Elephas maximus indicus: one gene and its partners. The protein of the gene in region 3 purifies or fractionates together with the protein of the main gene of each other region. This does not show direct contact. Links are inferred from orthologs where the notes say so. Each region holds a gene or a part of one and is shown on either strand. Other genes may lie near its edges.

Region 1 (3,745 bases), on a different chromosome or scaffold from region 3:
AGTTTCAGCGGAGATTCCAGAGTAAGGCAGACTAGAAAGGCCTGGTGATCTACTTATGAAAAATCAGCCAGCGAAGACCCTATGGATCACAACTGTCTGAGCCCCAACAGATCATGGGGATGGCAGAGGATTGGGCAACGGATAGCGTATCCTTCTCCACACCATAGCAGCTAACAACATCATTTATTGCAGGCAGTTTGCCAAAGTGCTTTTCATTTCACTTGATGCATTTGTATGTGCTGTAGTCTGAGATGTCTTTCCTTTTACTCTTTTAGAGCCAGATTAGTAATCCTCTTCTCTGTGAGGCTTCCCTGAGGCATCCTGAGGAAGTTGTCTGAACTGCATTCTTCCGCTATCCAGCACTTGGGGTTGAACTGTAATGATCAGTTTGAGTGTCTGTCTCCCCAATTTGGTTGTAGCTCTTGCATGCATTTTTTGGTCCTCTGTACCTAGCACAGCCTCCTGCTTTTTCTAAGCATCTTACATTAACTCTTAAAAGAACAATGAACAGCGAAAGTTTGATGTACTGCGTAAAACTCCACCTTGGATTTATTAATACTAACACATGAACTCCACAGTATAGAATATTTCCACGTTTCGTTTCGTCATTACTACATTTTCGTCAGGTTAGGCATTATCAGTGCATTCGTAGTTGAGGCCACTTGCTCGTCAAGTGCCAAAAACTAGCTTGAAGGCTAGTTTTTTGACACTGGGCCTGGGCCTTCTTTCCACTGTACTGGTGGCGCAGCGGTTAAGACCTACAGCTGCTAACCAAAAAGTCACCAGTTTGAATCCACCAGCCACTCCTTGGAACCTGCCATATGGGGTCGCTATGAGTCCGAATCGACTGGATGGAAACGGGTTTGGTTTTGGTTTGGTAGCTATCAGAAGAGAGAGCGACTCCTTAAAGGATGGACAGCTTTTGAATAACCGTAGTTTGGGAAGAAGAAAAGGCACCTTGGGCCAGAGGAGGGGTGGCGCACGGCTTGAACGGAGTTCAAGAAAGCGACAATTAGCAAGCATTATAAACAACAAAGGACGATAGGAACCTCAGCTCGGCCTCCTTCCGCTATTTTGCCAGTCAAAAACCCTTACATATCTCCAGGTTTTGCTTCTAGCTCTGAATCGCCCCGCCTCTGCCCGTTAATCTATATTTCCTCCTTCCCTTCGCTCAACTTCAGCGCCAGCCTCTGGGCCACTCTCAGACCACCAGCAATCCCCCAGAAGCTCCTATTGGCTCGTTCACCCTTTCAGTCCTGTCTTCTCCCGGCAGAGGCCCCGCCCCTTCACGCTAAGATTCCGTTTTCGTCCCCCCCGGCGCACGAGGCGTAGGCGGACAAGCCCGGCCGTACCGCTCCGGGGCAGTAGAGCCGCAGGAAGTGGCCTCTCTTTCCCAGAGCCCCATTGGCTTGTGGGATAGCGGCGAATTTGTCCAGCCTTGACCGGTTTTCCGGATCCCTCCACCCCGCCTCCGGTGGTGAGTACGGAAGCTGCGAGGGCCCGTGGGCAACCATGGCGGCGCACCTTAAGAAGCGAGTGTACGAAGAATTCACTAAGGTGGTTCAGGTAAGCGTCGGCATCAAAGTTCCCAGGACACTTCCGCGGCGGGGACGGTTATCCAGGCTCCAGGCACTTTGCCAGAACAGGCGCCAACCAGTGTTGAGCGCTTACTCTATCGTAGGGTTTCTGAGAGTACACGTTAGTGGGCGTGTTAGTTTGCCTGTACTGTTGTCATTAATAGCCTGACGCAATTTTTCTTATTATTAGAATAAATAAATGACACTTTACATTTTACGAACTTTGTTTCATCCGTTATCTCATTTTGTTTTCTCACACAACTTGTTAGATCGGGTTACATTATCCTAGTTTCACAGATGTTGTTATTGAGGCTTCCGGAGGGGTACGAAGACACAGTGCCTACTAGTCCAATTCCCAACTTCTCCAAAAAAACCTCCAGGGGCAAGGTGGCAGTTTGCAAAGTTATAAGCGGCCGCGAGAGAAAAAACCTGGCGATCAGCTCCCGTAAATATTTCAGCCTAGAAAACCCTGCGGGACAGTTCTACTCTGTAATAGGGTTACTATGCGTCGGAATCGACTTGATTGCACTCAACAAGAACACAAGGGACTTGAAGAAGAGTCTATAGAGGTCTTCAAGGCCCACGTGTCAAAGCAGGCAGAACGCTCCATTTGTGGAACAGCTGCCCTACGAAGGAGGGTGATCTTGTGTCTTTGAAGCTGTTTAAGAAAGGTGGGTTTAGCTCCCGTTTAGCAGCCGTTGATGCTCTACATGTCTCCATTTAGCTGTCGGTGAAGTAGAGGCTGATCTCAAATCATCCGTTGGGAAGTTCTTCACAAACTTTGTTGTGTATACAAATTACCCGAGGATATTGTTAATATGTCAGTTCTACTCAATATGTCCGTCAGGCTGAGGGAGGGGAAGGGAGGCAATATTCTGCATTTCCTACAAGTTCCCAATTGATGTCAATGCTTCGGATCCTTAACCATCCTTAGAGTTTCAGACTTGTGGAGTAGCAAGGCCTAGATGATCCAGTAGGAAGCTGATCCTTAAACATTTCATTCATTCATTCAACAAGAATTTATTGAGTCGATGAGGGATTACTATGTGCCAGGCGTTGTGAAAAGTGTTGGTCTACAAAGTCCAGTACACATCAGGGTCTCTGCTGTTAAGGAACTCACAGGCTAATGGGAGAGACAGGAGAACATATCTGTAATTGTAATACAGAGAGACAATTGCATTGACAAATCAAATGTTTCTTCCTTTCTCTTTTGCATCACCATCTTTTTGTAAAACCAAACTTCTTAGCCCTTTGCAGTCTGACAGTATTCCTTCCAGTTTAATCACTTGTCACTTTCTTTTTTCCCAACACTGTTGTTCCCACTTCCCAAGACTATTCTCCAAGACTTCCCCAGTGTGCCTTGTGTTTGCATATCTCCAAACTTTTGTATTTGTTCTGTTGCAAAGAATGCATACCATTTGTCCATCTTTTTTGTTCCTCACCCAATTCAATTTTATACTTTTGCTTCAAGATCCAATGGAAACTTTAGTGATAGTTTTAGTCTTTTTCTTCTGCTTCTATAGGACTCTATTGCACTTATCTATTTGTACTTATTGCTCAGTACTGCAGTGACCAGTGTGTATACTCCCAGCATTCTGGGCTCCTTGATGGCAGAGATGACATCTGGGTTCATCTTTGTCACCTGAATGGACCACAGGGCCTGGCTCACTAAAACGTTATTATTGATATCTGAATGATATCAGTTCGTCCTCCCCATTAGATAGTTTCTTAGGGAAAAATCTTCCCCAAGTTTTGTCTTAACTGCAGCCGAGATAACACTAAAGACTGGATTTGTGTAGAATAAGCTGGGAATGGATAAGGGTTTTAAAGCAAGCAGTTTTTCACTTTAATCTGCATGAGTGGTTTAGTGATGAAATGAGATCTTAGCCTTTCTGTTCTTTTTTCTCTGCTGTGAGGAGAGAGAAGTGATATGTATCTTGTGTTTATTATGCGTATGTACAGTAAAACCAAACCCAAATCAAGTTGATTCTGATCTGTGTTTTCAGTTAGGTCTTCATGTCTTATCTTCCCTTCTTCTTTACAGCAACAGCAAGAAGAAATTGCTGCCAAGAAACTCCGACTAACAAAACCAAGTAAATCTGCAGCACTCCACATAGATCTGTGTAAGGCTACTTCCCCAGCAGATGCTTTGCAGTACCTACTCCAGT
Region 2 (3,745 bases), on a different chromosome or scaffold from region 3:
TGCAACTTCTTCCAGGAAGTCTTATATCTTTTCTCATGTTCCCATCCCATCCCTCAAGTCCTCAGTGGTGCACCTCCTTATACAAAGTACCAGCCATTCATGTTGACCTGGCCTTGAGACCCTCGGAGTCCAAGGCTCTGGCCCCTGAGGACTGAGATAGGGGGTGGAGCCGGTGCCCTCTTGAACCTAGGCTGGGCGGTGGGGACTTGACCCTCTCCCCTTTCGATGATAGGCTCCTCCCTGTCATCCTGGGCCTTGGGGTCCTCACCTGGTCATGGAAGGCCTGTACACCCCAGGGATGTGGGAGAGGCTTCCCCTCCTGAGCCTGGGAGATGGGCCAGGAGACAGAGCATGGGCTCCCATTTGACAGAGGAGTACACTGAGCCCAGATGGATGAAGCCTGCTGAAGATTCTGATTTAAGGGGTGGCTGGCAGGTACAGTGGCAGAGGGGGCAGACTCTGAAAAGGCCCCAGCCCCTCCCTGACCTCACTGCTCCATCTCGTTGCCCACTCCTGATGCTCAGCTGAGGCCTAGTTCTTCCAGGCAGAACTTCAGGGTGGAGATTTCACAGGTAGTGCAGAGGGCTGGCGCCCAGGCTCCTAGGACTGCAGTCCAGAACTTCTGGCTGGAATGCTAAACTCTTGGAGCCCCACCTGGACCTGGACCCCCCCACCTCCGCGCCTGCAGCAGGATTTTGAACCAGGAACCCCAGTAGCGCATTTTAGGGACTAGAGGGACTGGGAGATTCGTCCAAAGAGGCCTGCCTGCCTGGGGTGGCGTGGCAGCGCCAGGAGGACGCCTTCTCTCGTGCTTTACCACTCCAGGCCTGGCCCTTTAAACCTGAGACTATGATGTCACCGTAGCCAACAAGGGACGGGTGGGGGACTGCAGACTTGAGGATGGACTGCATCTCCCAGCAGCCTCTGGTGAACCACACCCCTCCCAGCAGGCCCTGACTCGCCGCAGACTATTAACCCGTCCAGTGCCGGTTCTCCACCGGCCTCTGAAGTGTCCAGCTATTCTGCGGTGAAGGTGCGGGCGGGGTTCCCATAGCGGTCGCGTGCGGGGGGGAGTGGATCAGCGCAATCCTTGGGCCTGGCATAGCACGCTGGCCCGTTTCCTGCCAGTGTGCTGGCATCTCCCCCAGCTTCCTGGTGCAAACTCTTGAGTCCTACTCATTCTCCATGCAGACTCCCTTCCAGAAGCCAGGGGTCCAGCCCCAGCGAGGCCTGCAGCCCACGCTGCTTTCCGGCTTCCAGAGTTGGAGCCAGCCTTCCTCCCGAGTCCGGAGTCCGCATGCAGGGTTTTCGCCCTGGCGTCTGGTCTCCCCCTTTAAGCGGCGCGGGGACTACATCTCCCAGAGGCCCCCGGGCCCGTCTGACGCAGCCCCCGCCCCCCGCCCGCGGGGCGGTGGGGGCCGGGCGGGGGGAGGTGACTTGATGTCATCCTGAGCAGCTGGGCGCGGGTGCCGGTGCGCACTGAGCTGGGCTTCGCTGCGCCGCGCCGGGTCCGAGTCCCGGACTCTAGATAGAGGTCCGCGCGCTGCTAGGGCAGCCAGGAGCCCGCCGTGAGCCCACGCCCCGGCCCGGGGCTGAGCTGGGAGGATGCTTCAGCCCCCTGAAGCCCGCGGGAGAACCTAGGAGCTCCGCCGCCTAGCCCCAGCGCCCTGAGCGGCGTCGCTGCCTCCCACCCCCACGGGCAGCCCCTGGAGGTTGGGGACCAAAGTCTGGGTTTCTGAGAAGTGAGTGTTCCTCCCCGCAAGGGGCCGACGAGGCTTTGGGGACAAGGAAGGAGGAGCTGAGGTGGGGAAGGGTGCCCGGGTTCCAGAGAGGGGTGGCATGGGGAAGAGGCCTCCACTCTGGGGAGTCAGTGGTGGCCCCATTAGAAGAGTTAGCTGCAGGGCCAGGGGTTCCATTCTGTAAGGAGCAGGGATGAGGATTGTGTGGCCATTCGGAAGAGGGTCTGGCTTCGGGTATCAGGGTTGTTTTGGAGCCAGGGGCCTTTGGTCTGGAAGGGAGACCATGGGAGAGCAGTGCACTCCTATTTTAGGGTCTCGGCCAGGGTAGGAGAGAAAAAGAGACTTGGCACTCAACTGCAGTCTCCCAACACTGTCTTTCCCAAAAGAAGAGACAGACTAGCTCTCTCTGTGTCTCTTTCTTGCCCACTTTTCTGCCTTGACTTCATTTCAAAAGAGCCAAGTGGAAACCCTAAGTGGACTCTGGGATTCCCAGGAAGGACCTGAGGTCTGAGACATCCTTGCCTCTAGCCTGCCTGCCCCCCAGGACTGGACAGCTGCCAGAGGCCCTGGGGGGGGGCCCAGGACTGTGGTCGTGTCCCCCCCCCCCCCCCCCGCCCCATGCTCCGACAGGATGGGCCCAAGTTAGTAAGCCCAGCCTCACTCAGTGATCTCCAGGCTCTGAAGCACCCCTCAGGGTTCTGAAGGCTTGACTGCTGCCTGGCCACCATGGAGACGAAGCTGCCCCCTGCGAGCACCCCCACCAGCCCCTCGTCCCCGGGGCTGTCGCCTGTGCCCCCACCCGACAAGGTGGATGGCTTCTCGCGCCGCTCCCTGCGCAGGGCCCGGCCCAGGCGCTCCCACAGCTCTTCTCAGTTCCGCTATCAGAGCAACCAGCAAGAGCTCACGCCACTGCCCCTGCTCAAAGGTGAGCTGGCCACTGTGCAGGTCCCCTGAGCCTCAAGGGGGGTGACCAAGGCTGCCAGGGCCCCTTCCAGCCCTGAGACTCCACTGACCCTGCAGTCCTCTTTGCTGACGCATGGCCTGACTGGCCTGTCATCCTTGGGGGTGGGGCATCTGCCTGTGGCACCACCCTGGGGGGCAGATCCAGGCCAAGGGTGGGGCTGCAGCCTGGGTTCTAGGAGGCTACTAGCAGCCCAGCCAGCTTCTGGGGCCCTGGAGCCTGTGTGTGACCTGGCCTCTTGCTGTCACTGTAGTCTCCGCATGCCAGGTCACAAGGTCCAACTGGCTGAGCCAGAGGGTATCCGAGGGATCCTCTGGCCTGAGCCCCCTTCCACTTCTGGCTGGTAGAACAGGGTGCCACATATGAGAGGAAGGCAGGCCCCCAGGTCTGTCTGTGGTCTTGCTCGGAAGCAGACCAGCATCTTGCCTGGGTTAGGAAGTTGTGAAGAGGAAGCTGCCCCTCACCTCCCCCACACCCTGGAGTGGAGGGTGAGACAAGGGCTGTTTGCTTTCTGCGGGGGTCAGAGTGGCCCTAGCGGTGGGAGGACCCCCTTACCCAGAGCTGCGCAGCTAGGGCCTTGGCTTAGCACCCCTCGCTCCCCAGATGTGCCGGCCTCGGAGCTGCACGAGTTGCTCAGCCGCAAGCTGGCCCAGTGCGGGGTGGTGTTTGACTTCCTGGACTGTGTGGCTGACCTGAAGGGAAAGGAGGTAAAGCGGGCGGCCCTCAACGAGCTGGTGGAGTGCGTGGGGAGCACACGGGGCGTCCTCATCGAGCCTGTGTACCCAGACATCATCCGCATGGTGAGCACGGGCATCAGGCTGCGGGGGGCATGCGCCACCCAGCCTCTGGGGGGCTCAGGGGCGTGGGAGTCCTGGTTCCCCGTGCAGGGAATAAACCCTACATTCTTCACTTGGCTGCACAGCCCCCATCTTCCGTCCCCTCCTGAGCCCCACTGCCACCCTGCACCTGGCCACTCAGTGCCTCCCAGGCCTGTCGCATCTCCACCCCTTTACTCTGTTCTCCCTGAGGCCTGGAGTGCCCTTCC
Region 3 (3,745 bases):
AGAGAACTTTTGTTTCACTAGATTACAGAGAAGACCATTTCAAGTCATGCATCCTAACACATCCCACATATCTAAAAAGCTGTCTTCAAATAATTTACTTTGGAAGGTTAATATAGTTCCAAAAAATTTGGTGTATTTACAAGCTAACATCAGAATGACAACTATGTTATGATACTCCCCCACAAAAAGGATCCATTCCATTGGAACCTTTATGTAATACCTAACTTCAAATACTACGTTCATCTTTTTGGCTGTCAGAACTCAAACCTAAACATGCTGACTGAGCAATGCAGATCTGAGAATAAGTGATTAGCCTCACTATACCTTAGTTTTACAAAGATGTGGAAAACAACATTTACCACCCCACTTTAGTCTCCAACACAAACTCTCTACTTCCACAGTCCACCTCCTTACTGACTACCATGCCATGCTTGTCTCTCCAACTGAATTCAAAGCTCCTTGAAAACAGGCTTTGTTATTCTTTGTTGCTTTTCACTCCCCGCATAAGAGTAAGCAATCCTGGATAGTCAACAGATCTCCAATACTTAAACACAAAGTACTAATTTATGATGAAATTGTATAATCTTGCAAGATTAGAAGTGACCTTAGAACATTTGTTTTAACTCCTTATACAAAGGAAAATGAGGACCAAGTGATGTAATTGCTCCAAGTTCAGTCACAACTACTAATTCTGTGGCAGAAACAGGACTAGTATCCAGGTCTAACTCGCAGCTCAGTGGCCTTTCAATTACATCATTACCTCTCTCCAATGTTTTCTACACAAATGACTAGTCGTCTAGCAAAGTCTTTATACAGAGCAAGTACTGAACCCTAAAACTCCATAAAATGATTATTTATAGTACCTAGAAATTAAGCCCTTGGCAATATATTCTAAGTTTTTAACAGCCTAATCTTTAAACCTTTGAAATACATACCAACCTTATCTAATTGAAGAACTTTAAAATTAAGGGTCAAGAAAGAAAAGATTCAGTACACTGCTATCCATTAAAATTCAGCTCCAATAGATGATGTGCCACCTCATCAACTGGTAGTGGAGTTTTGCCCAGACTTGGGATAAATAAATCTGAATTTGACTCACTTAAATTCCTATTATTCACAGCAGCTTCTTAAAAAGTCCGTCTCGGGAGCATATGCATCAAATTCATAATCCTGATTTTCACATTAAACCACAAACGAGTCAGCGTAACAGCTCTCCTGTAACTCTTTTCACTAACACAACATACTAACATGATATCGCACTATTTTATATTAAAATGAAATGCTGCAAAGGTAATTTTGAAAAGGGAAGTTAAAATGTTCATAGAGATCAGCATTTTCTATACATTAGAAAACGGGGTTCTAAGAAATACAACACAGCTGAACAAGTAATAGATAATCTATTAAGCTACCTGTTTCACCAACACCCAAGGAAAAACTAGAATTAGTACAAAATTAAAGTTTAGCGTTATTAAGTGGGCTATGACATTTCACTTTCAACATCTGTGAAATTATTTATTTACACACTAAGCAGTGTCTGCAATACACTGTCTGGAATGAACTCTATCAACAGCTATCATTACTACTACTACTACTTGCAGCCACAGAAATACAATTAAGTAACTTTTTCAAAAAAGACCCAGGATATAAAACTTGCCGTCCTTCCAGTTCATCATTTTAAAAAACAAATGGCAAAACAGCAAGTATGTTCAGCTTAGGAAAGGGTTCACACTACCCAATTTGAATCAGCGTATAAATCATAAATTAAGCCGACACTTGATTTCCAATTCAATAGCTCCTTATGCAGTGTGACTCACCAAATTCTCCATTTTTTCCAACTATGAAGAATTAGTTACTCCTCCTCATAACTACCGTGACCTTCGCAGAAACTGGGTTAGAGACTTATGTATAAGATGTTTAATACAAACCACCCAGGATAGTGCTAAAGCTCTATGACCTTTAGACAGGTTCTGGGATCTGGCCTACTTGCTTGCCTTTGGGGACTCTCTGCACAACGCTGAATCTAAAAATTATGCCTGAACACAAGTAAAAAGCAGCTTACCCACCTCACAGTGGAGGCCTAGGCCCCATTCCCGGGCTGCAGAACCCAAGTCCCTTTACCTGAATCTCAACACCGTCCCTGACCCTGATATACAGGGTCTCCGCTCCCCCTGCCACCCCGCCCGGCGCCGAGGGCCGGAGCCTCAGAACCCCCTGAGTCGGGGGAACGGCGCCATTTTAGGCGGCGGCGGCGACAACCAATCCTTCAGCGAGAGACAGGGGGCGCCGGGTCGCTCGGGAGCCGCCGCCGGGCCGCGCCGGGCGCCGGACTGGGAGGCTCGGGGGGCTCTGGCCGGCGGCCTCCGCCATGTTGCACCCTCCCCACAGGCACCCCTTCTTGGCAAGATCGGCCCCGCGGCAGCACCCGCAGCTGGAGTGCAGCTCACCTTCTCGCAGAGGCTCTTGACCTGGGACTCGGACAGCTGCTTGCACTCGTTCAGCTGCTCGATCCACTGGTCTAGCTCCTTGGTGAACACCTTCTCGTCCATGATGCCACCCGCCCGAACCGGCTGCCTCTCCGCCCTACTCCCGCGCCGCCGCCCGCACACGGGCCACACGCACACGCCGCCGCCGGTTGCCGGAGTACTACTGTGGCTACTGGCGGTTGCTCGGCGCTAGCGCTGGCCCACTGGGTGGCCCCGCAATGCTCGGCCACCGGCCGCTGCTCCTCCTCCGCTGGCTCTAGCTCCGGAGCTCGGCTCTCTGTAATGGCGGCCGCCCGGCGTGGTGACGTCACGCCCGGCGTCAGAAGGCGGCGGGTGCGGAAGAAAAAAAGCGCCGGGACACGAGCGGCGCAACTGCAGATCAGATCCTGGTCTACCGCAAGAACCGAGTCAGAGGGGACGGAAACTAGGAGCCAACGCGCAGGCGCATTCTAGCCGGCTAGTAACTGACGCACCTTCTCTTTTAGGGCGTGGTCTCCCAGAAGGGAAGGCTCGCGGGGTGGTGGGATAAAAAAAAACCGAATCCGCGCAAGCGCTGTGCCTGCAGCTGTGAATCGGGATTATCTCCGAACGCTACGCCCTACGAGACGCCCGCGCGAGCTTCGCGCAGGCGCAGTCCTCGTAGAAGGGGGCTTCCTAGCTGAGACTTTTCACTTGGGGAGGCCTGGTAAAACGTGTTAGTTCTTCACCTGGGGATTGGGATCCAGATCATGGAAACGAGAAGGCGACCCCATGGCTCCTCCATGGTTCAACAGCACTGGAATTGCGTGGGATTCACACATCTCTGGGGGCAGGGACAGGGCACCCACTCACTGGCACCCTGGTTGGAGTGACCACCCCGCCCCTGGGCGCGGCTCACCCCTTGTAATTAGGTCACACGTGGGCGGAGGAGAGTGTACCTGCGGAAAGCACCTGACTTCCGCCACACACCTGTCCCTGGGCCCGGGCACTCGTTGGGCGCAGTGATGGAGGCTAAGGCTTGGGGCTTCTCTCGCTCTCGCACGGCCTTTCCTGTTGTCGCCTGCTCCAGGTGTGCCTCCTCCTCCGACTCCAGTTTCCCCGGTAATGAGAGACCCCAGCCGCTGCCTGCCTGGCCTCCTTTCTAGAGGGACACACCGGTCCTGACCGTGTCCCAGTGGTGGTAGAAGCAGCTGTGATTCGCATTTTAAAGCAAACTCCAATACCATAGAATCGGACCTCTGTCTAGTTTATGAATCTCTGGTGTTTGCGAAAACGTTTTCATA

The links.
Region 1: the proteins of PPP2CA (region 3) and INTS4 purify together in Homo sapiens (affinity purification with mass spectrometry; 3 studies listed by BioGRID and IntAct, with this or other methods). This does not show direct contact. The link is inferred for Elephas maximus indicus from reciprocal best matches to the Homo sapiens genes PPP2CA and INTS4.
Region 2: the proteins of PPP2CA (region 3) and PPP2R5B purify together in Homo sapiens (co-immunoprecipitation; 9 studies listed by BioGRID and IntAct, with this or other methods). This does not show direct contact. The link is inferred for Elephas maximus indicus from reciprocal best matches to the Homo sapiens genes PPP2CA and PPP2R5B.

Annotation. Positions count from the first base shown.
Region 1 is NC_064825.1:44,099,334-44,103,078, forward strand, and holds the start of INTS4 (integrator complex subunit 4), read left to right. Parts: upstream 1-1,379; 5' UTR 1,380-1,512; coding exon 1,513-1,566; intron 1,567-3,621; coding exon 3,622-3,745. UniProt on the Homo sapiens protein: Component of the integrator complex, a multiprotein complex that terminates RNA polymerase II (Pol II) transcription in the promoter-proximal region of genes.
Region 2 is NC_064825.1:128,089,473-128,093,217, forward strand, and holds the start of PPP2R5B (serine/threonine-protein phosphatase 2A 56 kDa regulatory subunit beta isoform), read left to right. Parts: upstream 1-1,418; 5' UTR 1,419-1,742; intron 1,743-2,193; 5' UTR 2,194-2,465; coding exon 2,466-2,664; intron 2,665-3,303; coding exon 3,304-3,500; intron 3,501-3,745. UniProt on the Homo sapiens protein: As the regulatory component of the serine/threonine-protein phosphatase 2A (PP2A) holoenzyme, modulates substrate specificity, subcellular localization, and responsiveness to phosphorylation.
Region 3 is NC_064820.1:146,616,479-146,620,223, forward strand, and holds the start of PPP2CA (serine/threonine-protein phosphatase 2A catalytic subunit alpha isoform), read right to left. Parts: upstream 2,896-3,745; 5' UTR 2,547-2,895; coding exon 2,445-2,546; intron 1-2,444. UniProt on the Homo sapiens protein: Catalytic subunit of protein phosphatase 2A (PP2A), a serine/threonine phosphatase involved in the regulation of a wide variety of enzymes, signal transduction pathways, and cellular events.